2 linked regions of the Medicago truncatula genome follow. The protein of the gene in region 1 interacts with the protein of each later gene in a pairwise test. Links are inferred from orthologs where the notes say so. Each region holds a gene or a part of one and is shown on either strand. Other genes may lie near its edges.

The links.
Region 2: the proteins of transcription factor DICHOTOMA (region 1) and basic leucine zipper 43 interact in binary tests that used the Arabidopsis thaliana proteins (3 or more experiments, as listed by UniProt). The link is inferred for Medicago truncatula from reciprocal best matches to the Arabidopsis thaliana genes BRC1 and bZIP43.

Annotation. Positions count from the first base shown.
Region 1 is NC_053045.1:54,379,989-54,396,546, forward strand, and holds transcription factor DICHOTOMA, read right to left. Parts: upstream 11,181-16,558; 5' UTR 11,146-11,180; coding exon 10,045-11,145; intron 9,949-10,044; coding exon 9,883-9,948; 3' UTR 9,544-9,882; downstream 1-9,543. UniProt on the Arabidopsis thaliana protein: Transcription factor that prevents axillary bud outgrowth and delays early axillary bud development. Indirectly required for the auxin-induced control of apical dominance.
Region 2 is NC_053048.1:5,994,923-6,011,186, reverse strand, and holds basic leucine zipper 43, read right to left. Parts: upstream 6,259-16,264; 5' UTR 6,141-6,258; coding exon 5,565-6,140; 3' UTR 5,369-5,564; downstream 1-5,368. UniProt on the Arabidopsis thaliana protein: Probable transcription factor involved in somatic embryogenesis. Acts as a positive regulator of BHLH109.

The sequences.
Region 1 (16,558 bases):
GGTTTTAAATACACGATGTCGGTCCTCGTAAGCTTAACTCAGTTGGTAAGGACAATACATAATATATGTAAGGTTCGGGGTTTGACACCACAAAAAAAAAAAAAATACATGAGGTCAACCACATGACAAATGAAGCGGCACATCAACCTTGTTACGATTCAACAACGCCTAAAACTGGTTTTGTAAAAAAATGAGAAATGATATTTATTCAACAATTTTTTGACAACTCTATCTCATAATCACATTATGTTCTTACTATCCCTCTATCTTTTTCTCTCTATATTAGTTTTTACCAATAAAAATGAGAAGATGAAAGTTGTCATAAAAATTATCATTTTATTGTCAAAAATTTATACTAGCGTGAGTTAACTCACGCAGGTGCATTATAGTAATTTCAATCGAAAATGAGTATTTTTGGTTGGGTAAAGAGCAGAATTCTCACAACAAATGCTATGCTAAACCATTTTATTCATATGCTCATTTGATTATTTGAGTTTTCACCTTTTTCGTCGAGATTGAACCATTTCTTTTCAACACGATCTTTCTAAGGCTAACAAATGTGTGGAATGATTTGCATGATAATGACCATTTTCTTACGCAAAATTTACTTCTGATGTTTAATGAAATTGAACTAGTGCTGTTTTGAAACCCAAAAAATTAAGGATATTACTTTTTTCACCCTATTGCATTCTCACGAGCTTATTTTTTTTTTCTTCAAAAATATTATTTGTCTGGATTTTAGAATCTAAAATCAGTTTGGATTTAAAATCTGGAAAGTTCTTAAATTGTTGGAACCTAGAGCATCTTGGAGATGTTTGTGTAATTTCTATAAAACTATATTTCAGAATGTATAATCTGAAACCCTTTTAGTCATTTTAGATTATAAAATCTGAAAAGTGTCAAACATCCCATAAAAGCCTAACTTTGGAGTAAAAAATGGTACATTTTGAATTATATAATCCGAACTGTCTTAGCACAAAGACATAAACATTGTTTTTTGGCTGAGACATGTATATGGTAAGAAATTGCTTCCAAATAATATAAACATACATTCATGATCGTATAAAACAAATTCTTCAATAAAAACGATAAAAAACAATATTATTTTCAATCATGAAATTTAAAACTGAAATTATTCAAAGAATACAAACCAAATCTTCGAACACAAAATGTAAAACATCAAACATGAGTCAAAATATTGCAACACCATAAAACTAAGCTCTGTCACCCCCACCTCTACTACCACGCCTACAACGATAAACCCGCCCTCCAAATGGCTCCATTCATCAGTCGCTTGCGCCACCACACCACTGGCCATGATGGAATAGACATGGTTTCTGATACGACAACCTTCCAGTCATGTCAAGGTACCCATGCTCTCCCTCCTTCTTAGCAGCAATCTCATGAAGGGCCTCCTGCTCGAGTGGCCTCGGGACATAAACAGCCTCATCCTGAAGTATGATGCGTGGATGTGAGATGGAATAAAACCATATGATGTATCCTTGTCAAGTCTCAATACCAGTTATAACAACAATCCCCAAGTCATGATCTGTCAGCATATGATTAAGATGGTGTGCATAACAGTAGTTGATCACCAATAAGGTCGTCTGGGAGATGCACTATCACATGAATATTTGGGGACGGTCTGGACAAACCCAATCTGGTGAAGCACCCACTCCGAAAAATATCTCACTCTACGAGTACCGTATCTGAGCCATCCATAGTAAAGGTTGACCTGCTCGAACAGACATGTCTGACAGTGTTCAACATACGGGGACATGATAACACCCGTCAGATCCAACTGATCCATATGCTCTTTGTATTTGTCTGGTAAAGCCAGACCCCTCGACAGTAAATACATCAAGGCACGTGGATGTTGCATAGGGATGTCTACATTATAAACTACATACATCATATTAAATGAATCTAAAATATAATTTTTTTTGCTTATATTCGGATCAGAGTGTAGGTTTGAATCTAAATTTCATTGAGCAATTTCGCATCCCAAGTGCAATTTTGACCAGAATATATACGAAGCTCCAAACAACATGTGTACTTGCAGTGAGTACAGTATCTAGAATTAAAGTTTAGAACTGTTTAGGTCATGCCTTCAGAAGGTTCTCAAAGGAGGTATTTATAGGCTATTATGGGCTAATATTCGCGTGACTTAAACCTTAAGCAATGAGAGCTTTTCAATCTTTTAGCCGAACTCTAGAGACTTCTAGAAGTTGGCTGAGGCGACGCCCTCTGAAGGGTGCGCCTTCAATCACGAGGCCCTTTTGGAGGGCTCTTAAACCTATAGAAAGGCTTCTGGCAGGGCCGTCCTTGAGAATTCGGAGGCTCGGCTCTAGGAATGAAAAGAGGTCAGTGATAAAATCAAAACGTTTTATTTTTATTTTTAAAAGAGCGATGTTCTATTTATATTTTTTAAAAGATAAATACAAAGTGCCGTATATATGCGGTACACCAAGAGATGAAAATGACTACCGTATACATGAGGAACCTCCACCTAACACCAAAATCAATTATGAGGAACCCCCACTCTTGAGACCCATCTTTGAGGGAGGCCCAACTCGTTTGAGCTGTTTGCACCCCCTCAGGGACGCCCCTAGCTTCTGGATCCTTCTGGAGAGTTTCTAAACCTTAGGAGTGCTGTAACGGTTAAGCATGCTTTCCTAAAGATCCAAGCACATGTTATAATGGTTGGGGTTCAAAACAATAATAGTCTATCCTTTAATTAACCTTTTAGGAATTGTCATCAAAAGTCAAAAAAATTAAAGTATATCTAATCATTATATAACCTTTTAAAAAAATTAATCATTAGATAATTGTGTCACAAGCGTGATCAAAGTAATAACTTTTTTTTTTTTTTTTTAGGGAAAATACTAACCATTTTTTTTGCCCAATTTCCATTTTCTTTTAATTCTGTAACTTTATGTTTATTTTTTCTTTCCATATACACAGTGCCGCATTATCACTTCCTAGTTACTATCCTTTAATTCCACAAATGCATAATTGGTGTTTTTTCTCACTATGTAATGATTGGAGATAAGCCAACTATATCAATCTTAAAATTCAAAACTTGTAAGTAATGACCACCCCTTTAAAATTGGCGTATTTCCACCTTAAGTTAAAATCTTAATATGTTTAGAATGTTAACTCATCAGTTTTGGCAAAACCGAATCAAACTGTAATCTTAACCTAACTGAAGTGATTGAGTTGGTTAATTTATTGATCGGAAACAAAATCGAACCAAATATTTGGTTTGAGCAACATGTTTTAAGATTTTTTCCCGGTCACTCACATATCCAATCCGTCACATGTTTTATTTTATTTTTGTTAATATTTTACGTATTATACATCTACATGTATAAAGTCAAACCAAATTAAAAACATGTTAAGCTAAGTTTTTCCTCTCAACAAATAAAAATGTTAAGCTAGGTTTTTTTGTCATTCTCAAAGTTACAAATAGAGATAGAGAAATGACAACATACTTATAAGTATTTTATTTTGGAAGTTCTAATATTTTGATTTTGTGTCATACTACAATAGGCGTGTGAGACTTGGTTCCACGCTTATTTTTCTTAAGTTAGTTTTAGATATTATATTATATTTTACAAAGTTCTCAATGTTATAATATTTTGGTTTGATTTGGGTTTTATACCAAAAACATGTAAATTCAACTAAAGTCAATATGTAAACTTTGAATCGGTTTGGGCGTCGAATTCACTCGAAATTAAACCAAACCGACCCGTGAACACCCTTCCGAAAACATATTATCATAATTAATATAGTTATTATTTTGCCTCTTCAAAATAATAAGACCGTATCTTACGTACTCTAACCCTCTATACATTCTTCCATGTAAGCATAACACCATGTTACAGAAAATATTGGCTACTACCATCACACAACATCACTCCATATATTACAATTTACAAACCAAACTTTACTAGAGAATTGAGATGTAAAAGATAAATAACTAGATAGATTTTTGTTGATGGAATGACTATATAGAAAAGAATATGCAGAGGCATCACTAATACTATAGAGGATGTGATGTTTGGCCAGCTAAAAGGAACTTAAGATGAATTAAATGAATCATTCCTAAGATAAAATTGGCGATGATGAAAATTTAGATTAATTCCTACAAGTGCACTCCAAAGGGAGAGATACAAATATTTTTATCTCTCCTTTTAGAGTGTACTTGTAGGAATTAATTCAGATTTTACACACATCATTCGAGTCTCGGACCATATATGATAGTAAGTTAAATTTAGAGATGATATTGATAGTAAATGATCAAAGTATAAGGATGTAATTGATATTTCAATAGAGTTGATGATCTTTTTGAAACATTCATAATCTCAAAGACTTATCTGAGAGTGTCTTACAAAGTTTGAGACTAACTTTTTTTTTGGACAAAAGTCAGAGACTAACTTAATGATTTACTTATTAGAGAATACTCAATGACTAAAATCCACTAGCATAGCCAACTACACTCCCAACCACGTATGTATGGAGTATATATTGTTTGTTCCTATCCGTGTCATGATATATTATTATATGGGAAAAACTAACGAGTTTCTTAAGGATACTCTTTAAGAGTCTTAAATAGTAAGTTAATAATCTTGTAACTTTAGAACTTGTATATTGAATGCATTAGAAATCAAGTGTTTAAATTTTTGGTAAATTCTTTTTTAATTGAGAATGCTTGAAGAGTGCCATAAAGACACTCGTTAGCAAGACCTTTATTGTAATTATGTTTTAGGTTTTTTTCCATGTTTCCTTGAGCTGAGTCAACAGTATTGGGATCTAGTGAACAAGAACAAGAAACAAAAGTGAGAGACAGAGCGAGTACTGAGGTGAAATTAAGCTGCAGAAAGAGTTAGGGGGAAAGAAAAACACATTGTCCTGGTTTGCAATTATTTACTTTACTTGCCCTAATAATAACAACCATCTTTTTACCCAAAAAGAGAGAGACGACATTTGATGTTCTATTTCAGACCAATCATCTTTTATTTCATTGGTGTTTTCCATTTGTGCTAGCTATATACGCGTCAATCACTACTGTCCAGTTTAGGGTTTCTTAGCCCTACCTAGGGCTATTCATAATCATAAAACAACCTTCTCTTCTGCTTAACCCTATCTGCATATTTTTGGATTTGCTATATTCTCTATCTGATTTCTGGATCCGGGTATATTTTATCCTGTTTTTTTGTTTTGTCATGTTTTCAATTCTTTCCTTTTCATGATTTTTTCCACCAATAACAATGATTGTGGTATCCTATGAGAAAAGCCAAAAAGGGTTTTTGGTCAAAGGGGTTGTAAGCTCGAAATGGTGATTTTGTTTGGTTGATATTAAGAGATATTCTTCTTCTCCTTTCTCATAACTCTTGATGAAAGGATTTGAGTTTGGTTACTAATTTTCCAGAAATGGAAGCATTTTCAGCTTTTGTTGTGTCTTTTAGGGCATCCTACAAGATTTTATGTTTTTTTGACAATATAAATATAAAGAAGTTGGTTTCATTAGTTTGTGTCATTTATGGATTTGTTTCCAAATTAAGGATGTTTCCAACTGTTTAGATCTGAGATCTGGTTTTCATTTTCTTCATATGGGTGATTTTCTAGGTTTTGTTTTAATGACAGATGTTGACAGTTGTTAGGAATATATGTGGAGGAGTAGAACCCACAAATATTTATCTCTCCAAAAACAACAAACCACACTTTCACTCTAATGGCTTTTGATATACGGGGATGGTTGGTTTCTGGTTGTTCATGGTTTTAGGGTATCTGTGTGTTGCTGTTTCCATTTTAGGGATTTGTTTCTAGGATCCATGGATTGGATGAAATGAGAAGACAGGCATGAAATTACAATTCTGATTGCAAAGGCAGAGGTCCAATATTTTTGTTGTATGCAAAAACAGCAGCAGATAATCTTTTCAATTTTGTGACAGTATGAAACAAACTTGTTGATATTGGAGGGATTTAAAGAATTAATTTTTCTTCATTCTTCCTATAATAACACTCAACAAACCCATCAGGTTGCCTAACCTATCGGAATGTAATTTCCGATAGACAATTTTTAATTTAAATTTAAAAGCGTATCGGAAACTAGATTGCGATTTTTGTTTTCGTGAAATTTTGAGCAATTAGGTGGTGCTTTTTAGCAACGTTCTTTTGTCTTTAAGGTATTGGACATATGTTGCACTTGGATATATGTCTTTGTGTTTGGTGACTTTGGTGTCCGTCCCAAGAGCCAAACAACTCAAACTAAGGTTTCAATTCTCAAAATTTTGAGCCAACTAATTAATATTTGTTCATTTGAAAACAAAAAACTAAGTAGGATGCGTAAAAATGAAGAGTGAGTCTCTAATATAAAACCTTTCGAAATAATCACTACATTTTTTAACACTGTAATAAAGGTGTTTATTTATATTGGGTCTGCATTGCAAAACTTAAAACCTTAGCTTGGTCGTTGTGGATGTTCTTAGGCATACCACTCCAACATATTATGGGCTTCTGGCTGGTGTTGTAGTCTATTATCTTGATTTATAGGATGTCTAAAGTTCTATTGTGTAAAAGGTTGGAATATTTGTTGTATTGCAGTACCCCTTACAAGTCACAAATTACACAATGCTTAGATACGCGTTTAACCCTAGTTTCTTGCGTCCCAATGCATTTTGGTCGGGACATTGCCAAAGCTACAAATGTTAGCTTCTGAGTATTCGTGCGTTCGAATAACATCTCACCGTATAATCTAAAGTATCACAGTTAATAAACAAAAGTCATGAAAATAAATTATTATTATTTAACAGGAAATTTAGAAGAAAAAAATGAAAATTCCTGTTGTGAAATTGAAACTTTATAGATTCTTTCTTTGGTAGAAATAAGAAGACACAAATCAGCCACACCACACGAGAGGGAGTGGCAGTGCAGTTGATACTCTGAACAAATACAGTATAAAATTTGGTATCTTTCTTTGCTGCTAAATACAAACCAGCCATATAAAGGACTCCTAGCTATTCTATTCTATATGCTATGCTATGCAATCTTATCTTTTCCTTTGTTGACTCCTGACTTTTGACCGCGTGCAGTGCAGTGCATGAAATTAAATGAAATGAAATATCCTATATATTTCATAAGGAATTTGTTCATATAATTATATAAAACCATGCTAAATGGAGAATGTCAACATTTTGTTATTACCAAAACCTATAAATGGACAATTCATTCATTTAGTCGTTATATATATATATATATATATATTGAGAGGAACTAATTATGGAAAATGAAAGCAATTATACTTGTTAAGTGCGGCTGTATATATTCATGAATTGACTCATTCACGGTACATTCATTGTATGTAACTAGCTATGATTACATCTGACATATGGACTCCAAGTCTCCACCCAACCACGTATACAACCCTGCATAAAGAATTAAGGGCATTTTTGTTTTGTTTTTACATTTGTTGTATGATAAAGTTATTATAATTGCATCTCTTGTTGAATTTAGGCTATGGTTTTATATGATGCACAAGTGAAGTATGTGTTATATCTTGTACAAGTTTGTTTTCACACTTAGATCAATAAGTCCTACCAATAAATCAACTGAAATACAATGAGATTTATTGATTGAATAATGAGGGGAAAAAAAAATTATACATAGTGCAATACTATTTTATTTGTACACCATAGATTCAACATTGAATTTGATATATATTATTTTGTTTTATATTTAAAATTTATTCTTACTATAAAGACTTTCAAAATATATACTAGGGAGGACACATTTTTGATAAAGTATTTTGTTGGAGTGCAGGCTGAATAGTCTCCTTATCCCTCTACTGCTTAATTAACAACTCAATATTATAGCTCCATAAAAGATATTGATAGAGTTTAATATTTCATTACAATCCTACAATAGAGTCAAATTATGTAGTCCATAATTTATTTTTTTTGTCAAGCATAATTTGTTTATGTTAAAGGGTCCAGATCCTTTGCAGCAGTTACAAAACTTCTGGATGTAACTGTAAGTGCAAGTTGATCCATTATTCTTACGTTCATCATTGAAAAGAACTTTATAAGAAGAAATTCTAGCTAGAACCACGCATGTACGATTTAAGAAATTAAACATCAGACAACTGGAAAATAAATAGATAAAAAAGGCTATTTGTAAAATGACATATGTTGAACGAAAAAAGACACAATATACGTACCAAATAGTTTGTCTTTGTTGAGTATTTCATTGCTGTCTTGGAAAAAAAAAATCTCATTAGACCCTATCGTGTTGCTGGCTTGGAAGACACGTTTACAGCATTCCAACATATATTGGACATAATTGTCCCTTACAAGCACTGGATATAAATTTCTTATGTTGTTGATGGGTACATATGATAAAGATATCATCATATTCGACTTACAAGTGATTTGTTTTTTTTTTTAAGGAATCATACAAGTGAAATTGAACACCACATTTTAATCCAAAATAATAAAGTATTGGATATATTTATCATCTTACTTGCATGTTGTGTAACTTTCAACTAATCATAAACTCCTATGTGTACAAATATTTAATATTGATGCGGTGATTGAAGCTCGTATGAAGATCTAGTTTTTTTAAACGACAAATATTAATAGCTAATTGTTAGAAATGTTTGTAAGGGAATTTCTTTATTCAACTCATATATGTTACTTCCCTAAACCATTACCTCCCCTCTAATATATACCTATATTTTTTTTTGAGCAAGAATGACAATAATTTGTATATATTGTAGTTGTCTAGTTTGTATAGACAAGTTCTGCTAGGTGATATATGCACCACTCTTCCACTTCATCACCCTAACCTTCAAGGAATTAATATGCAGGTAATTAATCTATTCTAATTTTAAACTTATGTGTAAACAACTTATAACAAAAACTACAACTAGCTACTACTATATTTTGCCAATAAAAAAACCAAATTTCATCATGCATCCAATTATAAAATTAGTTTCTATATTCATCTAAGCCTAACAAACATATTGAGACCGCTAAGCGGATTACATGTGTCCAAATTAAGTAGATATATATCGGATGACCAAGTGTTAAATCGGTGACCTATAAATAGTTCACGTGTCGATTAGGTCGTAGGAACTTGATTTGAACAAAGTTTAAATCTCGTCTAGAATAGTTGTAAAATGATCATTAGTTACTGTCATCATGATTAATAGAAACTTCTCCTTTCTCAATTAAAACAAAAAACAAAAAAAGTGACCTCTATAAACATTGGCTAAATGCATAATATATATTATAGTTTTGGAAACAATTTTAAATACATCCTCATCTGACAAGTAACCCTAACCTTCTTCAAGGGACGGTTGGACTTTGAGAGAAGAAAAAACAACTACAGCATGTGGAAATATGTCAGGTAGGATCAGGAACACTGTTATGTAAATGGATATGACATCAATAGCAGCAGCATTAAATTGAACACACCTCAACTCCATTTCAAAACTAAAATGTAATGATATATAACTAATTACTGCATATATTCACCAGATAGGGAGAAAAATCAATCAGTTATTTTTCTTTATCATCAATTAAAAATACCCCTTACAAGAGACACATATATAAATTGTAAACTTGTACCAATTTCAAGGTCAGAACTCAGAACAGAAACAAACAAGAAAGTGGCAACACTTTAAATAGAGATGACATACACACACAACAATATTTATGAAATATTGTTTCCAAAATTCTGAAGATACCTCACCACATAACATTCCAAAAAGGAAAGCAAAGAAATAACACAGCAATGCATAATGCATTTTATTCTGAGCCTGACTGACACAAAAAGGAGGAGGTGATGATAAGGGGTGCAAGTACGGTAGCATGTTAATTAAATGCGGTTGTTGTATGCTTCCCAAGGTTTTTCCATGGATTGGTGAAATTGTTCAAATTGATGCTGCAAACAATTTCATGATTTATATATATCAGATTACAGATATATATTATACATGCTTCATATATATATATATATGCATGGCTAATTTGAACTTACTTGTTGAAGGTTATTGAGAGAATTGAACATCATAGGTGGACTCCATTTGCTCATAATGAACAAAGAATTATCTTCATCTGAATGTTGTTCCTTTGCTTTTTGAGAGCTTGTTTCTACTTCAGCCTCATCAATCAGCTTCACATGATCAAAGGAAGGATGAGTCACACCTTGAGTACTCTGATGTGTACCTGCAGATTCTTCCACACTTTCAAAGGGGTTCCAAATGAGGTTAGTTTTTATTCCTTCTTCATTGTATTGCTTTGAATTTGATTCATCAACTAGTGATGTTCTAGCCTTCCTTTTTTCTTTTGTCCTTTCTCTTGCCCTTTCTCTTGCTTTTTCTCTACCTATAGAATTGAATGCACTCTTTCTACAAACCTTGTTAGTACTATTTCTTCTCTTCATAACAAGTTTTTGTTGTTGTGGTTCTTCTTGATTTCCAACTTCATTATCCAAGCTTGAAACTCCTTCAGTACATTCAGAAGTTGAAGATGCACTCTTAGTAGGAAAATTAACATTTTTCTCTCTTGCAAGGAGTTTGATCTCAAGTTTGGATTGGTTGAGCAACCAGTCCACTGTTTTGCTTGCTTTTTCAAAGCCTAACATATCTTGAAGACCAAAAAACCTCTTTGCAACTTCAAGTGACAATCTCATTCTCCGATCTCTTAGTCCTTTCGCGGTTTTGATCTTGCTGTGTCGGTCTCTCTTGCTAGATCTTTTTCTTTGGATCTGCTGATCCACTACAGTTTTGCCTTTACCAGCAGCTGCAGGAAGAAGATTGTTGTTAGCTTTGATTGTTGAATTGGAAGGCCGCTGATGATGATCAGTACTGTTGTTATTCATGACAACAGGTGGATGATGAAGTTGGAAATCAACATCATGTTGTTGGAGGAAGATTTGATGGCTGTCTTGAAAGGGATCAATATCATCATCAGGATAATTAGGGAATTGAAAGAAAGAGAAAGGACTGGGAAGAGGAAAGGGGGAATGACTGTTTTCAATATCTTTTGATGAAGTTGAGTTGCTTTCAAATGAACAAAAAGGTGATTTAGAGGAAAATGCTAGGTTATTTCCATTGAGGGAACTATTTGAAGAATACATATCTGGAATATGTTGAGAATTGAGATTGAGATAGACAGTACTGCACCAACACCAAACAATATTATAAATATATCTTTATTTATATATAATAACAATAACTATAGCCCTAGCTAGCTAGTACATGTCTTGATGATGAAATATATATATATATATATATATAGACATAGCTATAGATTTTGGTTTGGCTTGTTAATTATCGAGACTTTCCAAAGCCTGAGAATGACATGTTAATTCCTCTTTAAGTAAGAGCAGCAGCTATTAATTCCATCCTTTTCAGTTCATTTTTGTGTATATTTTCTGCTCCCTGCAAATAAAGGAAGGCATAATTTGATGAGTAAGACAAGTACTATTAATTTTTTACTTCTATGACATTGCCAGTACCGTGTATATATATATATACACGGTATGTGTGAGAGAGTGATGCTATATATAAATTGTACAGTTGGCTTCTTCAAAAATGCAAAGTACTACACAGTATGAGAATGACAGCACATAGACAATAATAATAAAAATGAAAATAAAAATACCTTACGAGGAGAGTAGTATAATTAGCAAGGAAGGAGAGAAGAAAGAGGAGATAAATATAAATAATAAATATGAAATAAGGTAAAGAATCAAACAAGAGTGATTTAATGTTTATAGACAAGGATCATATGGTTTGCTTTTGAGCAAAAAGTTTATAACCTCTTTAGGGAAGATAAAATGAAAGAAAGTGAGTGGATAGAAAAAGTTATAGTTTGTGTGTGCCACTTCACGTGGTGGGCACAGCTTGAGAATTGACAGAAAACTAAAACCCTCTTCAATCACTTCCCTTACACACCCACACCTTTAGTTTCCTACTACTATATATGTATGTATACCAAGCTTATAACCATTGACCTTGTATAGAATAGAAGTATGGGGTGTGATGCTCCTTAACTGAGACACTTCATGAATATATGTATCTTAAATATTAGGGTTAATTAAGTTTTTAGTCCCTATAAATATTCACAATTTTGTTTTTAGTCCCTATAAAATTTTTCATCAACATTTTTAGTTCCTATAAAATTTTTCCATCAGCATGTTTAGTCCCTATAAAAAATTTTCATCAACATTTTTAGTCCCTAAAATGCTTAAAGAAAAATATCACAGGGACTAAAAAGTGTGATTTTATTTTGTAGGGACTAAAAATAAAACTGTGAATATTTATAGGGACTAAAAACTTAATGAACCCTAAATATTATAATTTTTGTTTTTAAGAAAAGTATATGGATATATATGGAGATGCTTTACGGATATGTGCAAACATGTACTTAAAAAAAATTGAAAAATATAAACAAAATGAGACAAGGTTGTAGAACGTTAGTGGAGATTTACATTATCTAATTTATAATATATTCTAACAAATTTATAAGAAAATAAGATAAAACAAACACACAGTTAAGCGCAATAAAAAAGTGAAAAGATGAACACGTTAGTATACGTCTTGACACGGGTACAAATAAAAAATACATATAGACGTATATATAAGTATATACTATAAAATTGAGTCAACGATCTTGAATCAAACATTATATATTTGAGGAAGTTTATGCCTCCCTATTTGTTCATGTTGAATTTGTTTCCCATCTATTTGTTGTCTTTGACATTACTATTTGGCATGCTATATATGTTTGGCTTGAAAAAGAGATGGTGATGTGGAATGAGCATTCTCCCCTTTAAAAAAATGTCCTCAAGTATATTTGATATGAGAAATGATATTTGATATTTGTGACAACTTTTGAACAATTTTCTCTCTATTACTTACATGATATTCTTATCCTATCTCTTTATTTTATTTTTTTCTCTCTTTCTCTCTCTCTCTATATATATTGTTTTTGATTAATAAAAAGAGAGAAAAATAAAGTTGTCACAAAAATTATCATCAAATGAGTGTACAAATATCATTACTCATTTGATATATAATAGAAAATATTGAAACATGTTGGAAACCAATTAGACTAAAGAAAAAGATGGGCGGACATCTATACAACCCTTATACATCTTTTATACACTATGAGTGATATAAATAGGGACATTTTGTGTGATTTGTCTATGATGTGGTAGAAAGAGAGATGTAAATAAATTGAGAAATGATATTTGAAAAACCATTTTTTTAAAACTTTTGTTACAATTTTCTCTATCATATATTATATTTTTACTTTCTCTCTCTCTCTCTATTGTGTTGTTTTTTGTGTCAATTCCTTATTTTCTTTATAAAATTTTAAGGCTTAATTGCACTTTTGAACCCCTATCTTTTCAAAAGTTGCGGTTATGGCCCCCTAACTAATTTAAATACAAAACAGCCCCCTATGTTTTGATTCATTGGCAGTTTTGGACCCCCGCTCCATTAGTGAGGTGCCATGTGTATTATTTAGGGGGCCACGTGACACCTCACTAATGGACTGGGGGTCCAAAACTGTCAAAAAATCAAAACATAGGGGGCTGTTTTGTATTTAAATTAGTTAGGGGGCCATAACCGCAACTTTTAGAAAGATAGGGGTCCAAAGATAGTGCAATTAAGCCAAATTTTAATTGTCTCAAAAGTTGTCATATAAATGGATGTTAAATAACACAATTCAAGTCCCCATGAGCTTACCTCATTTGGTAAGGGATAATGCACAATATGTGCAGCGGCCGGGGTTCGAACCCCGGACACCCCACTTATTCATCTTTAAGGTGAATTTCTCTAGTCACTAGACTACTTGACCAAAAAAAAAAAACACAATTAAAAAAATCGTTATTGAATAAGTATGAAAGAATAAGGGTTTACGGCTAATAGTATGGTACTATGGCAAAATTAGTACATATAGGGTGATATAACACTAATTTCTCATTGATGTAATCTTTAGGCACCTGACAATTATTCAGAGACACCTAAAAAAATACCTCGAATGATATTTAACTATGTTCTGCTAAATGGTAGTTAACTATCATTCAATATATTTTAAATCGGTTTAACCGAATTAAAAAGCGTTCAAACGATAATTAACTATATATCAGTGAGATGTTTAGATGTCTATGAGTAATTGTTAGATGTCTAAAGAGCAATCTGAATTTATCATATGAGCAAATTAAGGTATTTGTCCAAGATAATGACCTCCAATTCAAATAGTTTATTTTCTTATTATTCTCTGTCTTCTTTAATATTTATCATGCATTTTTCATTCATTCATTAATTGTTTGAAATTTAGAAAGAAAGAAAAAACCCACGTGTATGAGTGTATCTAGCTTGAAACCCTAAAAGGAGATAAGTGGTGGAGAGAGTAGAGAGTACAATTATTATTTCTATCCAACCAACCATCCATATATATGTATGCAGTATACTTGTAGCTAGCTAGCCAATATGCTCCCTTTGACTGGGGTTGCTCAGAACATCACTTTCACCAAAAAGAGATGCACCATCACTCTTTCTTTGTGGTGTATAGTATTGTAGATATATAGTAGATGTCCATGTATGATGTATCTATATCTATCCATCACATCTATTTGAGAATGTTGTAGTAGTTATTGGTTCCCTCTTCCCATGCGTGCTTATCTTCTTTAACTTGATAGATATTTATAGCTAGGTAACCACTTTTATATCTCTTTTTGTCTTAATTAATTTTTACGAGGTTTTAATAATTTTATATTCGACTCAGAGATTATTTTAGCTAAAATTTTAAACAAAATTCATTAACCAATTTTGTCTTATAACTTGATTTAACTCTTTCTTTATCAATGCCAAGATTGTTATTTTGTAAAGATAGAGATATATATGTATATATTATTGCTATTGTGCAATATATAGTGCACATGTGTGCTTGTACTTGCCACCGGCATCTATGTTCTAAACTCTAAAGCCCTATTGACCAATTGTAATCCAAAACACAGCATGATTTCCTCAACTTATTTTTCAAAATGGTAATAGTCCACATCCACACTTGAAAGCACTATACCTACATAGTACACTAACAAAAATTTGATGGTTTTTCTCTCTGTCTGTCTTTTCCATTTATGCATGCCGTTCTCCCCACTTATCTTCAACTTTCTTTTCTTTCAATAGCTTAGCAGCATACTTGTCTCAATCGCCACTACTTTAGAGTTTAGACTGTCATATAAGTTTAGGACCACATATATTGCAAAGAAATTAAGGGGTGGGGTTGCTTTCAACCAGAAGATAACTATGACACCATATTAAAGTGGCTAGTTTCCTTGTGATACAAATTCAACTCGGTGTCTCAAGGTTTACCAATCACATTAGGATGGTCACATTGAATATCTATATAAAACTCCCCAAAAAAGGATAATCTACAGCCAACTACAGGCCGTTAGATTAAAAGACTATATCTTAATGACTTAATCTAACGGTCTATGATTGGTTGTACTATAAAGTCAAAGGTAGAGTATTCTTGTCCAAAATTCTCTCTACAATATATATTCTCAAGTTCTATAATTTCATACCTTGATAATTTTTATTTCTTGTCTGCAACTTACAGAAAAGGAAAACAAGTTGTTGAAATTTCAATGTTCGTTAACTTATTTATAGTAAAACTTTGCTATTGAGAGATACATTGTGAGTTTTAGGGGGATGAACAGACATAAATCTGATCTTACATAACAATTTTAGTAAGTGTCACTAAGAGGGACTTTTCTAACATGGACCTTTACTTTAATTAAAAGATGAATTTTATACAAAAGACATGAGAACCGGTACCGGTACGGTACATATTCGTGTATGAAAATACGATAATTTTTTAAAAAATTAAGGTGTTGGTGCATCAATATAAACATGGTTTTGTTGTTATAATATTTTTTTTGGTGAGTTTTGTTATATAAATAATATAACGGAAAAGAGCAAAATTCTTCGATTCACAACAAAAATATCATAATAAAATATATAAAATAAAAAATAAATTAGGGTTAGTTTTTTTTTGACAGAAAATTAGGGTTAGATACAACAACAAAGAAGCTCATATGCACAAATAATATTACATTGTAATAATAATATATTATAGTAATATATATAAGAGAAAACCACAACTTTCATTCACAAAAGAATAATAAACAAAAATACAGTCCTATGTACGTGTACCGGTGATACAAACGCATCATTGTAGGAGTGTTTCACTGTTTTTTTTACTAGTATTCATGCTTTAGAGATGTCCACCTTTAGACAATTTTTTAGAAGTTTATATTAAATGTGTTCGAGTAAGAGTCGCATATTAGATGAAAAAGTTGACGTTGAATATATAAATAAGATGAGTCGAATGCATAATGCCTTAGAGCATTGATATTTTATAATATTTCAAAAGTTAAAAGTAATCTTTAGTTTTTTTTTTACATAATTTTTAGCTTAATACTTGTTAAAATGTGAATTTATATTATTTTAACCTTAAAGGTCAATTGATTGATT
Region 2 (16,264 bases), on another chromosome or scaffold:
AAGTTTAACAAGATGCAACACTCCCTTTTTGAAAAAATAAAGATAAAAAGAGTTTAATGGGGTATACACAGTCACTGCAAAAAAGATTTACACAAACAACCAATCACATCTCACCATATATATAATATAATTCTAGAGATATTTTATGAATTAATACAGTAAAGTCGCATAATAATGAGATGTAATTAGATGAATGTGTAAAACTTTTCCATACTGACAGCGCAGAAATCAATTAAATTCAAACAAAAATGATGTTACTGCGCAGATAGAGTATAAACTAACAAATCAGAACAGTATTTCCACTAAAACAAACTCATCCAAGTACAAATTAAGGTTTTCATTTGTACTGGTTTAACAAACTCAATGGAAACGAATGAGTTCTGTTTTGACTCTTTAAGGCACATATATTCATTTCACATTGTTCTTGTTGAACCGACACTGATCAGGTTACGGTCTTAGCAGTGAGAACAAAGATAACTCAAGGTAAATTTCCGAGGATAATTGTTAAAGTTTTAGACAATTTTCAAGTATCCTACACACAAATACAAAACAAGAGCATATTTTCCTAAATTTTCACATATCAAGCAAATGACCTCGACAAAAACTCAAAATATTCAAAAGTACAATAGTATAATATTAGAAAAACAATCCGAATTATCATTAAGTCACCTAAATTACAGTAAGACAGCCAAGTTTCACAAGATCTTACACTCCCTTTTTGTAAATACAGTGTTAGTGTAAATACATTTTACACATACATCTAATCGCATTTCACCAAATAGCCAATTCATCACAACCAATCATGGGTGTGAATTTAGAAGTAAGTAAAATAAATAACAAATACTTCTAATGATATGACAGTTGTGATTGATTGACAGTGTAAAAGCAAGATCGTTCAATTGGTATACCCTGTTAGTGTAAATAAGTTTTACACATATAACAGGTAAGAGTTTAATTTCCATGCACTATCAGTGTAAAAAACTCTACACTATCACCTCATCACAACCAATCATATATGACTTAGAACTAGAAGTCTAAAAGCAATATAGTTAGAATCAGATGTGTTGAGATGCATGTGTAAAACTTTAGTACACCGAAATTAAATCCATATAAAAATTACACAGAACAATTTATTCAAAGAATACAAATCAGAGTAAAAATTAAGAGTTTAATTCAAATCCAGATCAGAAATCACTAAGAAGATCAAAAATCACAGTAATAAATAACTAATCAAATGAAGTTGATATGAAAGTGGATCCAAAATCGAAAAAGAAAGGAAAATGAAAAGACAGACCTGAAAATTGAAGAGATTAGGTGAAAAATGAGGACAGTGAGTGAATGAAATTGAGAAAAGTGGGTGTATATATAAATTATAGAGTGTGAATAAAAAAAGTGAGAAAGTTTACCAATTTGTAATATTAAATTTGGAGTTGAAATGAAACTTGAAATTCAATGGTCGACTCGACGATGGCTATCAAGACCACCAACCACCAATCTTTTCAGACAAAGAAAAATGAATCCATTTTGGTATCTATTAATATTCTCTGATTCTGTCATAAAATAATTAATTTAAATGTAACAAAACACTTGACAAAAAAAAAATGTAACAAAACAAATTAATTTAAATAATAATAATAATAATAACTTTTAATTTTGGATTTATATGTCCTGTGAGCATAGCTCAGTTGGTGGATAATGCATTATTATATACAGGGGCTGGGTTCGAACCTCGGACATCCCACTTATTTATCTTATAAGTTGAATTTTAGTCATTACGCTACCTAACAAAAAAAAATTTGATTTAGTTAAAAAAAATCTTATAATAAGAACGTAATATTTTTTGTACCAAAAGAAGAAGAAGAAAAAAAAAAAAAAAAAAAGAACCGTATTATTGTTGTTGTAGACGTATCTGTTGGAGGCTTGTTGCATGTGAGGTCAAAATTTTCCAACTTCCGTGAGTGGGTTAGGTGGAACAACTCCGATGAATCATAGCCGTTGATTCTACAATCGATATCTTAACTTCGTTGAATCTTGGGTCAAAGTCAGGCCCAATATATTTCAGAGGAGTTAGCTATTGTTTTTTATTTACGGTAGTTAATTGTCATTGTTGCAATGGTAGTTATCTACCGGTTCTATAGAGAAAACACATTTCAAGCATTTAATGCATTTGTACATAACACAAGCAAAAGGATATAAAAAAAAAAAGATGAGATGGTTCTTCTGATCAAAATTGGACAAGATTATTCAATTCATGCATGACGACAACAAAAACATACATTGAACATGATTCAACAACTTAAAACATATAATAAAATACAATATAATAAATCACGGATCAATCAAACTAACTTCTTCATATGTTTCATCTTTGCAAGCTCTGATTTCTTCGTAGGTCATGGTCTGAATCAAACTTTCATGAATATCTTTGAAAGATATGACCAACGAAGAGTTAAACTCAATCGATCCTTTAGAAATATACTGACCAAATACTGAGAACGTTATTCTCATGTGATCGTCATTTTTTAGCTTCATTTGGGCAAACTAGGTGATTCCCTTGAAGTGGTCAATGAATCGAAATATTCAACACTTTTCACCCTCTGTGTGCGTTTGTGGTTGAGTCGGGGATTGATTTGATCCAACTAATCCTTCAACCTAGATAGCGTGACATCAATTCGGACCCTAAGCAGATTAGGTTTTCCCCTAGTGTGATTAACTTGGTGTTCATATCTTCTGGATATGTGTGCATGGTCTTTGTTGTGTTTTACAACAAATGAACCAAACACACCAATTTATAGAAGTTTTTGAGCGCCTGGACTATATAAATTGTATGTGCAACCTGGTTCAAATAAAAAAAAACTTTGCAACGATAGTTAACTACCACTCCTGGGTACGATAGTAAAAATCCTCATAGCATATTAGATCACTTAAGGAATTATAAATCTCTAGCCATTGAAGAGAGCTCTCAGTCAAGGAATTGATCATAGATAACATTGTTAATCATTGTAGAACTAGAAGAACATTGTTAAGGATGAGTGCAGTTTACCAAACAGTGATAACAAGAGGATTCGACAGAGTTGATCTGATTTTTCATATTATTTTCACAACACTTTTACAAGCTTTATTATTATTTTATGCCAATCAACCAAGTGCCTAGAGCAACCTCCCAACTTTACACATCTTAATTCATACCAAATATTGCTATATTGAAGTTAACGCAGTCCTCGTGGATACGAACATTTTATTACTTCAATAGTTTTTAGTACATTTGCTAAAAGTTTATCACTAAATATGGAGAAGTGATTTGAAAAAACTCAAGTCTCATATCGGATATATATATATATATATATATATATATATATATATATATATATATATATATATAACTCTTCATCAGTTACACCCAATTTCAAGAGGGTAAAAAAATTTCTTTTGCGTATGGGTAGTGAAAGTCTAAAATTATGCAACATGTGAATTGTTTTCTAGAATAAATTAAGAAAAAAAATTGTGTCCTAATAATACAAAATAATTGTCAAATTTGATTATATTTTTCACCTTTTTAAAGTGAAAATGAATTCCCTAAAAACATAAGTGAGTGAAAATCAAGAAATGGAGGCAATATATATGCAATTGACTTTTTTATGAGAATCGTATAATTAACAGAATCCAAAGGCTGTAAGTAATGTTCACACTTTCTTTACCATGTGAAACTGAAGAAGGATGAGTTATTCATGTTGACTTTCATTAGGGACATTGTCCTATAGTTTCTTTGGTTTTGTACTTTTTTCGTTTGACTTTTGTATGTATTTCAAAAACAGATATTCAAAGGAGCAATTATGCTTGTGCAATAGATGTAGATGAAGAAATAAAAGAGAAGGAACATGCATTACTAATCAATTAAAAAAGATAAATATTTATAATATTTTAAGTGGTTTATACTAAGGTAAATTGTTTAATCAAATCAATTGTTTTATTGGGAAGTAATAGGCATGCATATAGTGAGATAGAGCATGCCATTTGAACAATGAAAGGTGTGGTACAGAATATTGCTTTCCTTCTTTTGGTAAAGAATTTTCTGTATATATTATAGTGAACTAAAACACTCGTTTGTCCATTTTTTCTCGATAAAAATAATCAAAGTTACAAAATTTTATGTAATTATTAAAAAAAAATTAATGACACTAAAAAATAAAATAAAAATAAAACAATTATTTGATTTGATGAAAAAAATAAAATTATAAATAAACTATTTTAAATGAAGAGTAAAATTGGAGAAAAAAATAGGTACATCAAAACATCTTTATATAATTATATAAATCTAGCCGGTCCAAAGGACCCTATAGAACAAATATTTGTGAAAGTTCGAAGAGTTTTATTGTAACCTAAACACCGTGGTGGAGATTAATTTCATAGTAGGTCTATAGGTCCGAAGTTATGCATACTCTATAGAACTATTTAGATGTCAAAGATCTTAATTACGATGGTTCCAATAAAAAAAAATCTTTTTTATAAGGCTTAATTACACTTTTGGTCCTTGCATTTTGACTAACTCACGAAATTGATCTGCCTCTTTTAAATCGAACAAAACCGTCCATAAACTATATGTTTTTTTTGCAATTTTAGTCTTATCTCCCTATTTCCAACTCCATAAACGCACATAAATGACAGTTTTAGTCCAATCACCTATGCTTAACCATGAAATAAACAAGGAATAAATCATGTGGGTACAAGGAATCTACTTTGTTCAGCACACAAACCAAGAAAAATCCAAATTTCTAAGACATGTTTCAGGTATGTAACATGTCTCGGAAATTAGGTTTGTGTGCTGAATAAAGTAGATTCCTTGTACCCACACATTTTATTCTTTGTTTATTTCATGGTTGAGCATAGGTGGTTGGACTAAAACTGTCATTTCTGTGCGTTTCTGGAGTTGGAAATAGGGAGATAGGACTAAAACTGCAAAAAACATATAGTTTAGGAACGATTTTGTTCGATTTAAAAAAGATATGACCATTTTCGTGAGTTGGTCAAAATGATAGGACCAAAAGTGTAATTAAAAAAAGGTATACATAATCTACTTTTTCTCCTTATCTATTCTGATTTCTTTAGTTATTGGGATTCAATAGAGTCGCGAATCAAGTCTTTTTTAATTGTTCTCTGGATGGAAATCATGATAGTGTTTTAAAATATTCAGAGTGTGACCAACAATTAATTAACCAGAAGGTTTATGAATTATTTATTTGGATTTCTATCCTTAGCCATTTTAAATGTTATTGTTTAGAAGAAATCATTAGAACTTTAAAAACTACACCATTTATAGACAAATAGGAAATTGCATAGTTTTTTTTTTTTGGGTACAAAGAGGAAGTAGTAAAGTTAATGAGCATAAACTTAAAATAAAGATACTCAAATTAAACAAAACATGTTATTGCCTTTCATGGTTTCACCTCATAGAACTCAAAAAAACAGAAGAACTAAAAGATGAAAAATTGAAGAGTTATTAAAACTTGCTCTTGTGACTCTTATCTTCAAATTTACCCTAACAAATCAACAGAACTTGTGATTTATTAGTTTGAAGAATCAGATTTAACATTTGGTGAAGTGATGCTAGGAACATCTTCAAGAGGACTCAAAGGAAGACAAGAACTATGTAACTGCATATCACACACCATTTGTCGAAGTTCCGAAGCTTGTTCTTTCAATTGAACATTCTCTTGGACAACTTTATCATGAGTCTCACAGAAATTGTTGAGCTTATCTAGTAATTGATGATTTTCATTCCTTAGCCAAACAACTTGTGACCAAAGCTCATCAAGCTGTTTTTGTTTCCTCATTCGCGACCGGCGTGCTGACTCTCGGTTCGATACCATTCTTCGATGTTTTCTTTCGTTGATTAGACCTAGGTTTTGTTCGTCCGCTTCGTCGGAAGTTGAGTTGCTGCTTATGCATGAGGATGGAGGACTGAAGTCTTGGAGAATTTGAATAGGGTTTTGGTTGAAACCATAGAATTGGTTGGAGAGTTTTGGATGTTGAGGTGTTTGGATGGTGTTTTGGATCATGTTATAGTTACATGGTGGATAGGGAGATGGATCTGAATATGGGAGTAAATAATTGAGTCCTGTATTAATCTCTTTGGTTTGCATGGTGGAATAATGAATATAAGATTGTGAGGATTTGAAGCAAAAATTGTTGGAGTATGGAATTTAATTTGATTTGGAGATGGATGGAAAATGAGTGGGACTAGTTAGTATATATAGGGAGGGAAAATGGTGAAATGGCCCTATGGAAAGTAACAAGATGTCAATGTAGAGTAGATCATTGCACTCATGTCATCTTTCTATATATGCAATTAATATTATGTTAGATCTATGTAGCACTTACACATGGAAGATGTATTTAGTATCTGTCACATGTGATTACATTTAATTACTTTTATTTTCATAAGTTATTGTTGATGTTTGTGTATGTGTCTACTATTCATGTTTGTGTAAGTGTAGAATTACTTTGTTTGTGAGCGTCTCTGTGTCCCATGAATTTAGACTCTTCTGACAATCTTAATATGTCATTAATGACATTTATTTAGTGGATCATAATCATCTTCATTTTTCGAAAGAAATAGAGAACTCTATTTGAAGAAGAAAAAAAAACACAAATGAATTGAAGAATAAAATTTTTTTTTTTTTTTGAAGGATAATTGAAGAATAAAAATTGTTTAATATATTATCTATATTTTGTGTCTTTTAAATGAATCCATCCAAACTATCATTTTGGTATTTTAAAAATGATGGATTACTTTATTTTGGCTTAAAAGAGATAGCTTTTAAGCTCAAAACTCTTTTGATCATTTTTAATAAAGTTTTTGAAAAGCTAAATAGGCTAATCCAATCAAGCAAATTAAACATAGCTTCTTTATTCATGTACATGTATAATAACATCCATTATGTGGGATCAGGTTTTGCTGCTTTAAAAACAACACGCAGTTTTACATAATTTTTTATCTCAGCCGTTCATCTTAGATAGAACGGTTGAGATTGAAAACTGTGTATTTTTAATTAAAACGATTTCTACCATCCAACTGTGATCGGACGACTATCACTAATTACAACACCATGCTATAACAACACGGAATCCTATTCCCATTATGTGGGGCCTTAGGTTCATTGAACAAGCTAGATGGATGAATAAGATGTTACACATACATATAGATAAACACATCCACAACACAAGTGACACAAACGTGTGGGGGAGGCAACTTGGTTTAATGGATAATCATTTTTGGACAAAAAATATGCTTACATCAGATAAACTTATACAAAAGTAGTTCATATAATGGGGAGTATAATAATTCAATTGGAAGACTGTTTAGGCTAAAGTAGGTGCAGGAGAAAAAATGGTGTTCAATTGAAGTCAATTTATTTTATATGAACGTGCGTAGTGTGTTATTTCTAAGATGATTCTCTTTTAGATAATGGACCTGTTTACTTAAATGACATAAGCTAATTGGATGAAAAAGAATATTGAAGAAGGCATGATATCAGCTATGTTTCTAATTATAAATATATTTTGGTAAAAACATTTTTGCTTAGGCATTTTAGTAAAAATAAAATGCGTCCCTCAAATTATTAGATATATTTATTATTATTTTTTAAATATACTCCTTATTATTGTTAATATGATACGGTTAATTTGTATTGGAAGATGAAAAATCATAATTGGATGCATTTATAAACCCTACTACTTTTCTTTATCTATTTGAAAATTACCAATATTATATTAGTCTAGGTGGAACTAGACTCAAATCTTTTAAGTAAGGTCTTGAATTCGAGTTGTGTGAATGAAAAAATGTGGTTGGGAGAGAGACTTTGCTAAAGAAGGTTAGTCAGATTTTTCAACTGAAGTTATTCGATATTTCGCAACAATAACATAGTTATAAAAAAATTCATGTGAAAATTAAAAAAGGAACTTATGAAAAGTCAACAACGCTGAAACTATTTAAGAAAAATTTAGCGCTCTATTGTGATCTGATCCAACTTGAACGATTAATCTCTGCAATTATATGCGAGGATATACCTAATGTACACTAAAGTGGGGATGGAAGTAGTAGTTTCAAAGAGCAAGAAAGAGTGAAAAGTTTATGAATTTGGTGACTCAAAAACCACTCAAGTATATAGATGCAGGGACCTCCAAAAACAATATATAAAATATGGAACTAGAAGCCAAATCTTGATTTGATCAGCAGCCACTTATGTTAATTTTTAAATATGGTTAGGTAGTAATCATTTATTTTAGTAATGACAGTTTCAACAGTAATCTCAAGGTAAAAAAAATAGGTAAATCATTAGTTAGTTACTTCCACGCCTATATTATGTGAAACAGATGGGTGTATGCTGTGTTCATTGTACACAGCTGTTAAAAAGTAAAAATAGTTGTGTACGTACTTGCCCAAAACTAGCTTGGTGACTTATACGTGTATAGTGTAAGCCATTCAAAAAAAGTTATATGATCACTATTTGCATTAACCTCTAAAATAGAAACTTGCATAAGCAACTTTTATATGTTATGAAACACAATCACCTCAAGCATGTGATGACAGGCACGAGTCGAAGTTCAACACTCGTATGATATGTGTCAGAAATTTCAGACTGATGTTCTAAAATATTTGTTTTATTTTGCTTTAACACTCTTTAGATCGGTGTTCAAACCCGTATGATATGTCTCGCTCAAACTAAGTCAAGTATCCAAAAGAAAATAAAAATACCCATTGCTTCAACACATCTAATACCGTCTTTGAACACATCTCAAACACATCTAGAAGAGTTAAAGATGTGTTGAAGCTATGTTTGATCAAATAGAGGTTAAATATATTAAGTGAGATTACAACCTTATTAATTTTTTCGATAACAGATGGATAAATAAATGTTATATATTATTATATTTTGTTTTTTAATAAAATAAATTGCTCAATTTACATGCAGTTGTACATAATTTGATCTCAATTTAGATATTCTATAAACAATATTAATATTTTATTTAATTATAATAAATTAATTAATATATGTGTAGCGGTGTCGGTGTTCTAAGTTTTTTACATTAACAGTGTTGATGTGTCAGTGTCCGTGTTTAATAAGTTATATGTGTGTGATCTATTTAACTAGTGTTACTTATTAGATGCAGAAAGTAAAAACAATTAATAATAAGATATAGTATGAAACTTTAGAAGAGAGTTTTTGCTATGTTTCTATGTTCAGTCATAGGTGCTAGGTATGTCACACTTTTTAGTCCTAGGTGCTAAGTATGAGAATTTTTCAACCGAAGGCACATGCCCCTCTAACGTGGGATGGCATGCCTCGCGCGCTACTTCAATGTTTGCACTCTCGGGGGGCGCAACAACACCCCCAAGGGGCACGAGTAGCCTTAGGCAACGCATTTTTGCCGTTTTCTTTGATCTTTCTGTGTGTTTTCTTCCTTGAAACTTGTCTCGTAACTTGGAATATAATTTCTTCTCTTTGCAATGTCTTTCGAGACCTCTTGAATCATCATCCATTATCTTCCCAAACCCTCTTGAGATGCTTTGCTTTGCCGATTTGTATGATTTTACATTGAATTACATCAAAACACCTAAGAACTGCTTGGTTTGGGAACGCTTTAAGGTCTTGCAGGGTTGTAACATGACTTAGGTTAAGGTGGGATATTTTTTTGAGAGTCGGCTAATCAAACAACTTTGAGTTAGATTTTCAACCTACGGATTCCTACTAAATATTGAAGTATTACCAATCTTCCTTCCTTAAACCGAAATTGTTGAACCATAATGAGTTTTATAAATGCCTCATAAGTTTTGATGATTACAAAGTATAAAAGAACAATTGGATATGCTAATGTGTGTTCAAATGTGTAGGACATTAAAATTAAATTCTAACTCTTAAGTCAAGTTTAGGTTCTGAAACATCAAGGATTTGAACACATAAGATAGAATTTGAACCAAATAGAGAAGCTACTATGACTTGAAACAAGATCTAAAGAAAGGTCAACTAGAAAGTCAACATCTTGTTCATAAGAGAATTTTCATTCAAAATCATTTGAAGGAAAGAAGACTCTGATTGATCAGGGATTTGAGAATCAAGGAATTTGAAGAATTAGGATCAATGGTTATTAGAACGTAAAGACAATACAAGTTGGAGAAATTTCATCTTACGTTTCAAGCCATTTGAAGACGGGAAGAACGCTTGAAAAAGGACGAAAAACTACATAATTCCCCCCTTATCGTCGTTAAACATATGAATAAAAAACCTAATCTTCCTTGATATTGAACTGATTGATCAGGCAACCAAGACTTGGAAAGCTCATCTTCTGGCTTTCCTGTTTGATCTGCATACCACTCAATATACCCCTTTTACCACAAGTTACAACTAACACCTTGGTATGGAAAGGAGAAAAGAATGGCAAGTATTTTGTATGCAGCGCTTACCGAATTTGTGCTTAAAACATTGGAGACACTTCTCACCTTCAAAGGCCGGGACATTGGAATTTTATTTGGAATATCAAATCTCCGTTAAAGGTGAAAAATCTGATTTTAACGGTATGTTATGATTGTTTCCCTACTTATGCACGCCTTATCAGTAGAGGAGTTGCTTGCCCCATTGATTGTGTTATCAGTAACGAGGGTATTGAAGATACCATACATGCTCTCTTTACTTGTCTCTAGTATGTTCAGGAATGGCATACAACAAACTTACGAGTTGATACTAAACAAATTTTGAGCGAACATGATAATACAAAGGCGATTGTGCTTAAATTACTACATCACCTTCACCCGTCACAAATGTTCTCTCTTTGAAACTGTTTTTTGTAGCTTAAGGAAATGTCAGAATTTAAAAAGTATGGTAACACATTGATGAAACAACATCAGAAGTTGTTGAGTGTGGTACACATATGTTATAAGACTGGAAGCTTGCACAAGAACGAACAAGGAATGCAACAACAACTGATGCCGCTTTTGCACCAGGTAAACTTAGATGTAATTATGATGCATCTTTCTCTCCCTCTTATAATAAAGTTGGCATTGGTATGTATATTCGTGATGCTGAAGGTTGTTTTGTTCTTGCGAACACCACTTGGTTCTCCCCTCTATGTTCAGTGGAAATAGGTGAAGCATTGGGGTTGTTTAATACTTGACAGTGGTTAGCTAATTTGGGCTTTGACAATATGGATTTTTCATTGGATTCAAAGGTTGTGGTCGATGCTATTAATAATAACCATAGTTATAACAATGGGCTCGACGTCATTATTTAACAACGTATACAATTGTTAGGTTTGTCATTTAACAACTCTTTGGTTGAGTTTAACCGAAGGCAAGCAATTGAGGTCGCTTATGAGTTAGGACAGACAACCCATTAAAAACTAACTCTCAATCTCTCAATTGTTTATTGATGTACCACCTTATATCTCTCACTATTTATCTAATGGAATGATTTGAGTTTCTTCCCCTAAAAAAGAATTGTCATGTAATCTATCAAATACTTGGTCACTCAATTGGTTTCAAAGTATAAAATAGAGTGATAGTACAAAGATAACCGGATAGATTTAGAATAATTTAGCTACTATTATGGTTCAAAGAAAAAGTTTAGGTACCGTTATTCTAGTTCATGGGGTCCAGTAAGAGATAAATAAAATTTTACTCATAAGATAATGATACATGTCTGCCTATCTTAATTTTTTTTTACAAAAAGTAAATGATATTTATGTTGGAACAAAATGTGTTTTACAATGAACCTTATTGAGTTTTGATGATAACAAGGTATTAAAAGTTGTCAATTGGTTATTACTAATAATTGTTCAAGTGTACAGGACCAAAGGCTACTCAAGTTATTTCAATAGGTCTTGGAAGAACAATTGAAAGAAAAAGAAATTCTGAGCATCTGAAGAAAACTGCTCTTGAAGCTGAAGTGCTTCTGAAGTGATGACGTCATCAGAAGCAGAAGGTCATCAGAAGCAAAGGTTTTCATCAGAAGCAATATCTTCACAAGAAGCTACGTTTGATCCTTTAAACAAACTGAAGATTCAAAGTAGCTGATTCTCAATTCAGTCTTATCCAAGAAGAACGAAGAATTGAAAGGGAGGTATCAACGGATATATGGATAGCACTGAGCACTTGTCTCTCGTTAATAGAGTTGACAAAGTACAAGTGTACAACCACTATCTCCACTACTCTGTTTTCTATCTACGCTACAAGACAAGACAACAGCCATGCCTGCAGAAGTTGTACGTTCAAGATGGGAATGAATTTGAAGCTTATTCTTCAAAGGACTACACCCAAATCAGGCAAAGGATTACTGGTGGATGATCAAAGGATTTCAAACGACTCTTTAGACGTGCTGATTATCTCAACGTCTCTTTCACACCTCTATATAAAGGAGTGAAGACTTGAAGATATGAGATAGAGATATACAAGTTCAAAAGCACCAAAACTCTGTCAAATTGATTCTACAAAGCACACTGAATTTCTGCACTGATTTGATACATCTTAGAAATTCAAAGTCTAGAGTCTTTATTGTATTGTATTGTGAACACCACTGATTGTATATCAAGTGTTCAAGTCAAACTCAATTCTCTGTATTTTTGTTTGATCAGAAGTCTCTTGCCTGCGTGCTTGAGCATTAGAAGTCTCTTGCTTAGTGCTTGAGCATTGGAAGACTCTTGCGTGTGTGCTTGAGCATTTTTGTGAAGTCTCATACTTAGAAAGTATTGAGCAGTTGTAATCTTTGTGATTATAGTGAAATCTCCTTGGAAGTGCAAGGGGGACTGGACTACTTCCGTGTTGTGGAAGGAACCAGGATAACTGCTTGTGTCTTTGTCTTTCTTTTCTCTGTTCTTTTCCGCTGCAATCTGACTCTGATCATTTCATCAGAAGCACTCAAACTGCTTCTGAAGTTTTATCAGAAGAAGTATTTTTTAAGAGAAAAAGAAAACATAATTCAACCCCCCCCCCCCCTTCTTGTGTTTTTTCACCTTCAATTGGTATCAGAGCTTGCTCTGTTATCACAGCACTTAACCATGTTACAGTTCAAGATCTATTAGAAAAACATGTCTGGAGATGAGGAATCAGTTACTACAAAATACACAAGTGTCAAGCATGACTATGATACTGCTGACAAGAAAACAGACTCTGGAAAAGCTCCAAAGTTTAATGGAGATCCAGAAGAGTTTTCATGGTGGAAAACAAATATGTACAGCTTTATCATGGGATTGGATGAAGAGCTATGGGACATACTGGAAGATGGAGTTGATGATATGGATTTAGATGAAGAAGGAGCTGCTATAGACAGAAGAATACATACTCCTGCTCAGAAGAAGCTTTATAAGAAACACCACAAGATAAGAGGAATCATTGTGGCTTCTATACCTCGCACCGAATACATGAAGATGAGTGACAAATCTACTGCGAAGGCTATGTTTGCTTCTCTATGTGCAAACTTTGAAGGCAGCAAGAAGGTGAAAGAGGCTAAAGCTTTGATGCTAGTTCATCAGTATGAACTTTTCAGAATGAAGGATGATGAGAGTATAGAAGAAATGTACTCAAGATTTCAAACTTTAGTTTCTGGATTGCAAATACTGAAGAAAAGCTATGTTGCTTCTGATCATGTTAGTAAGATTTTGAGAAGCTTGCCTTCAAGATGGAGACCCAAAGTAACTGCTATTGAGGAAGCTAAGGATCTAAATACTTTAAGTATTGAAGATCTTGTTAGCTCACTCAAAGTGCATGAAATGAGTTTAAATGAGCATGAAACCTCTAAGAAGAGTAAATCCATTGCTTTACCATCTAAAGGAAAGACTTCAAAATCTTCCAAAGCCTACAAAGCCAGTGAATCTGAAGAAGAATCACCTGATGGAGATTCTGATGAAGATCAATCTGTAAAGATGGCTATGCTGTCCAACAAGCTTGAGTATCTGGCAAGGAAGCAGAAGAAATTTTTGAGCAAGAGAGGTAGCTACAAGAACTCCAAGAAAGAAGATCAGAAGGGATGCTTCAATTGTAAGAAGCCTGGTTGTTATCATGGTTTTTGGGTGCCAAGCCATTAATTGGACTTGTACCTTTCGACCGTTGATATCTCTCTTTTTTCTTGGGAAGGGTAAAAGGAGAAAAACCCTTGAGTTTCCGAATTCGGGGGTCGGTTTTACTACGGGAAGGTGTTAGGCACCCGGAGTAACTATAGTCCTCTATAGGAGCCGTTTTCCTAAGTCTATATTCACGCTTATTTTTACTTACTTTTGAAAATGGGAGGTTTATTTAGTTAAGAATGGGGGGAGAGAAGTTGTAAGACTTTTTATCTTTTAGTTGATTTGAAGAAAATTTTAATGTGTTGCTATTTGATTTTTAAAGTTTGAAAATGATTTTTTGAAGAAGAGAAAGGAGGCCTTAAAGGCTTGAGAAGTAAAAATGTGAAGTTTGCCCAATTTTACTTAATAAAATAGTCTAAGTCACTTAAGGTTTATTTAGAATTTTCTTAAGAAAGTAAAAGGAAACATCAAAGGAGTGTTGACTCCAAAGTTCAATTTAAAAAAAAGCTAGAATTATGGAACTTGGTTTGCTTTACGAAAAAAAATATTTTCTAAGTACTCGCGTTCCCTAATCATACATCTAAACGAATGTCATACACCGTGTGTGAGTGTCGGTGCTCGTGTCGGTGTACATCAATAGAGTCCATAGTCCCTTTTACATTGTCCTAGATACATTCTATAGTCTTTGCATGAAATATAAAAAATAACACCTACCTAAATATTACAATTCCAAATAAAAGTAAAAAAATGAATGCAAAGAAACTAAACTATGTAAAAGAATGGAAATGGAATGCTAAACGATATGTATGAAGTACCAAAGTAAACTTGTTAGTAAAAAAAAAAATAACAAGTACTAAGAAATAAAAGCATGCAAGATGGCACAAAAAGTTAACAAAATGACATTAAACCCTAAAAACTTAGGTATGAAACCTAAAGCATTCTTGGCCTCTAATTCTCATGCTTTAACAAATTTTGAAAGAGTTTTCTTTATCTCAAGTTATAGCATGGAATTATTGGAAACATGCAAGCATGGTTTCATGCCATATTCTCTAGAATAAACTTGGCATTTTATATCTTTCAAAATATGCATATATTGTTCATAAAATTAAGAACTTATGAACCAAATCAAAACAGCAAATCAACATGAAATTATAGGCACAAATCTCTCATATTAACACATCAAGTAGCTTTTATTACATATTCTCACATCAAGGACAAATGTGTGAAGAAGAATCCATAACAAATAATTCAAAGAGAATTAAAATGCTATGAATTAATTATACCAAAATTTCATAGATCCTTAATGTGCAAAAATGTCATAAAAACACTAAGAAAATATCAAGAAACATGTATGAATTTTTCTAGGAATTTTACCACAATTTTAATCAAGACATAGGTGCAGGTAGCAAAAAATAGGGGTGTGAACAGCAAGAAAAAAGCAAGAAATGTGCAGAACATTAAGCCCAAACCCAAAGCCCAACACCAAAACTCAGATTGCACAGGAACCACACGATTGATCCAGGGTCCTGAAACCCTAGATCAAACGGCCAGGAACCAAGGGGGGTTGGACCGGTCCTGAACCGGTCCGGTTCACTGGCTTTATAAGGGGGGGAAACCGGTTTTTTTTTATAATTCTTCTTCTCCTTCTCTCTCTTCTCTCATTCTAGTGAGAGAAGCTCTCACTTCTCTCTTCCTCACCGCGCCGGATTCTGGAAAAACAGGAGATGATCTTCATCTTCTCCGGCGGAGTTTGTTCCTCCGGCGTGGTGGCCGGCCACCCAAGGGTGGCGGCGCCGCCGCCGGAGTTGAGCAAACTCCTCCGATTTTGAAAATTTTTACATTTTTAGATATCCTTTTTCGTGCTATTCATGAATCCAAACTTAGTTTTTTGAGAAAAAGTCCCAATCGGAGTAGATCTAACTTCAAAGATTCGGAAATTTGAATTTTAAAGAGGAAGAAAGAGGAAGAGGAATTGTTACCTATTTGTGGTGTGTTGTAGAGCAAGGGAGAGAGCTTTGCTTTCTTCCGAATCCGGAATATTCCTTCCTTCCTTCTCTTCTCTTTCACGTGGCTCTTTGACCGAATTTGTGCTTGTTGTTTGGTGATGTTCTTGGCGCGGATTTGTGGATTTTTGTGATTCTTGGTACGGATTTGGTTCGGATTCGGTTTTGTGGCTTTGTTGATTTTTCTTCTTCCCCTCTCTCTGTGATCG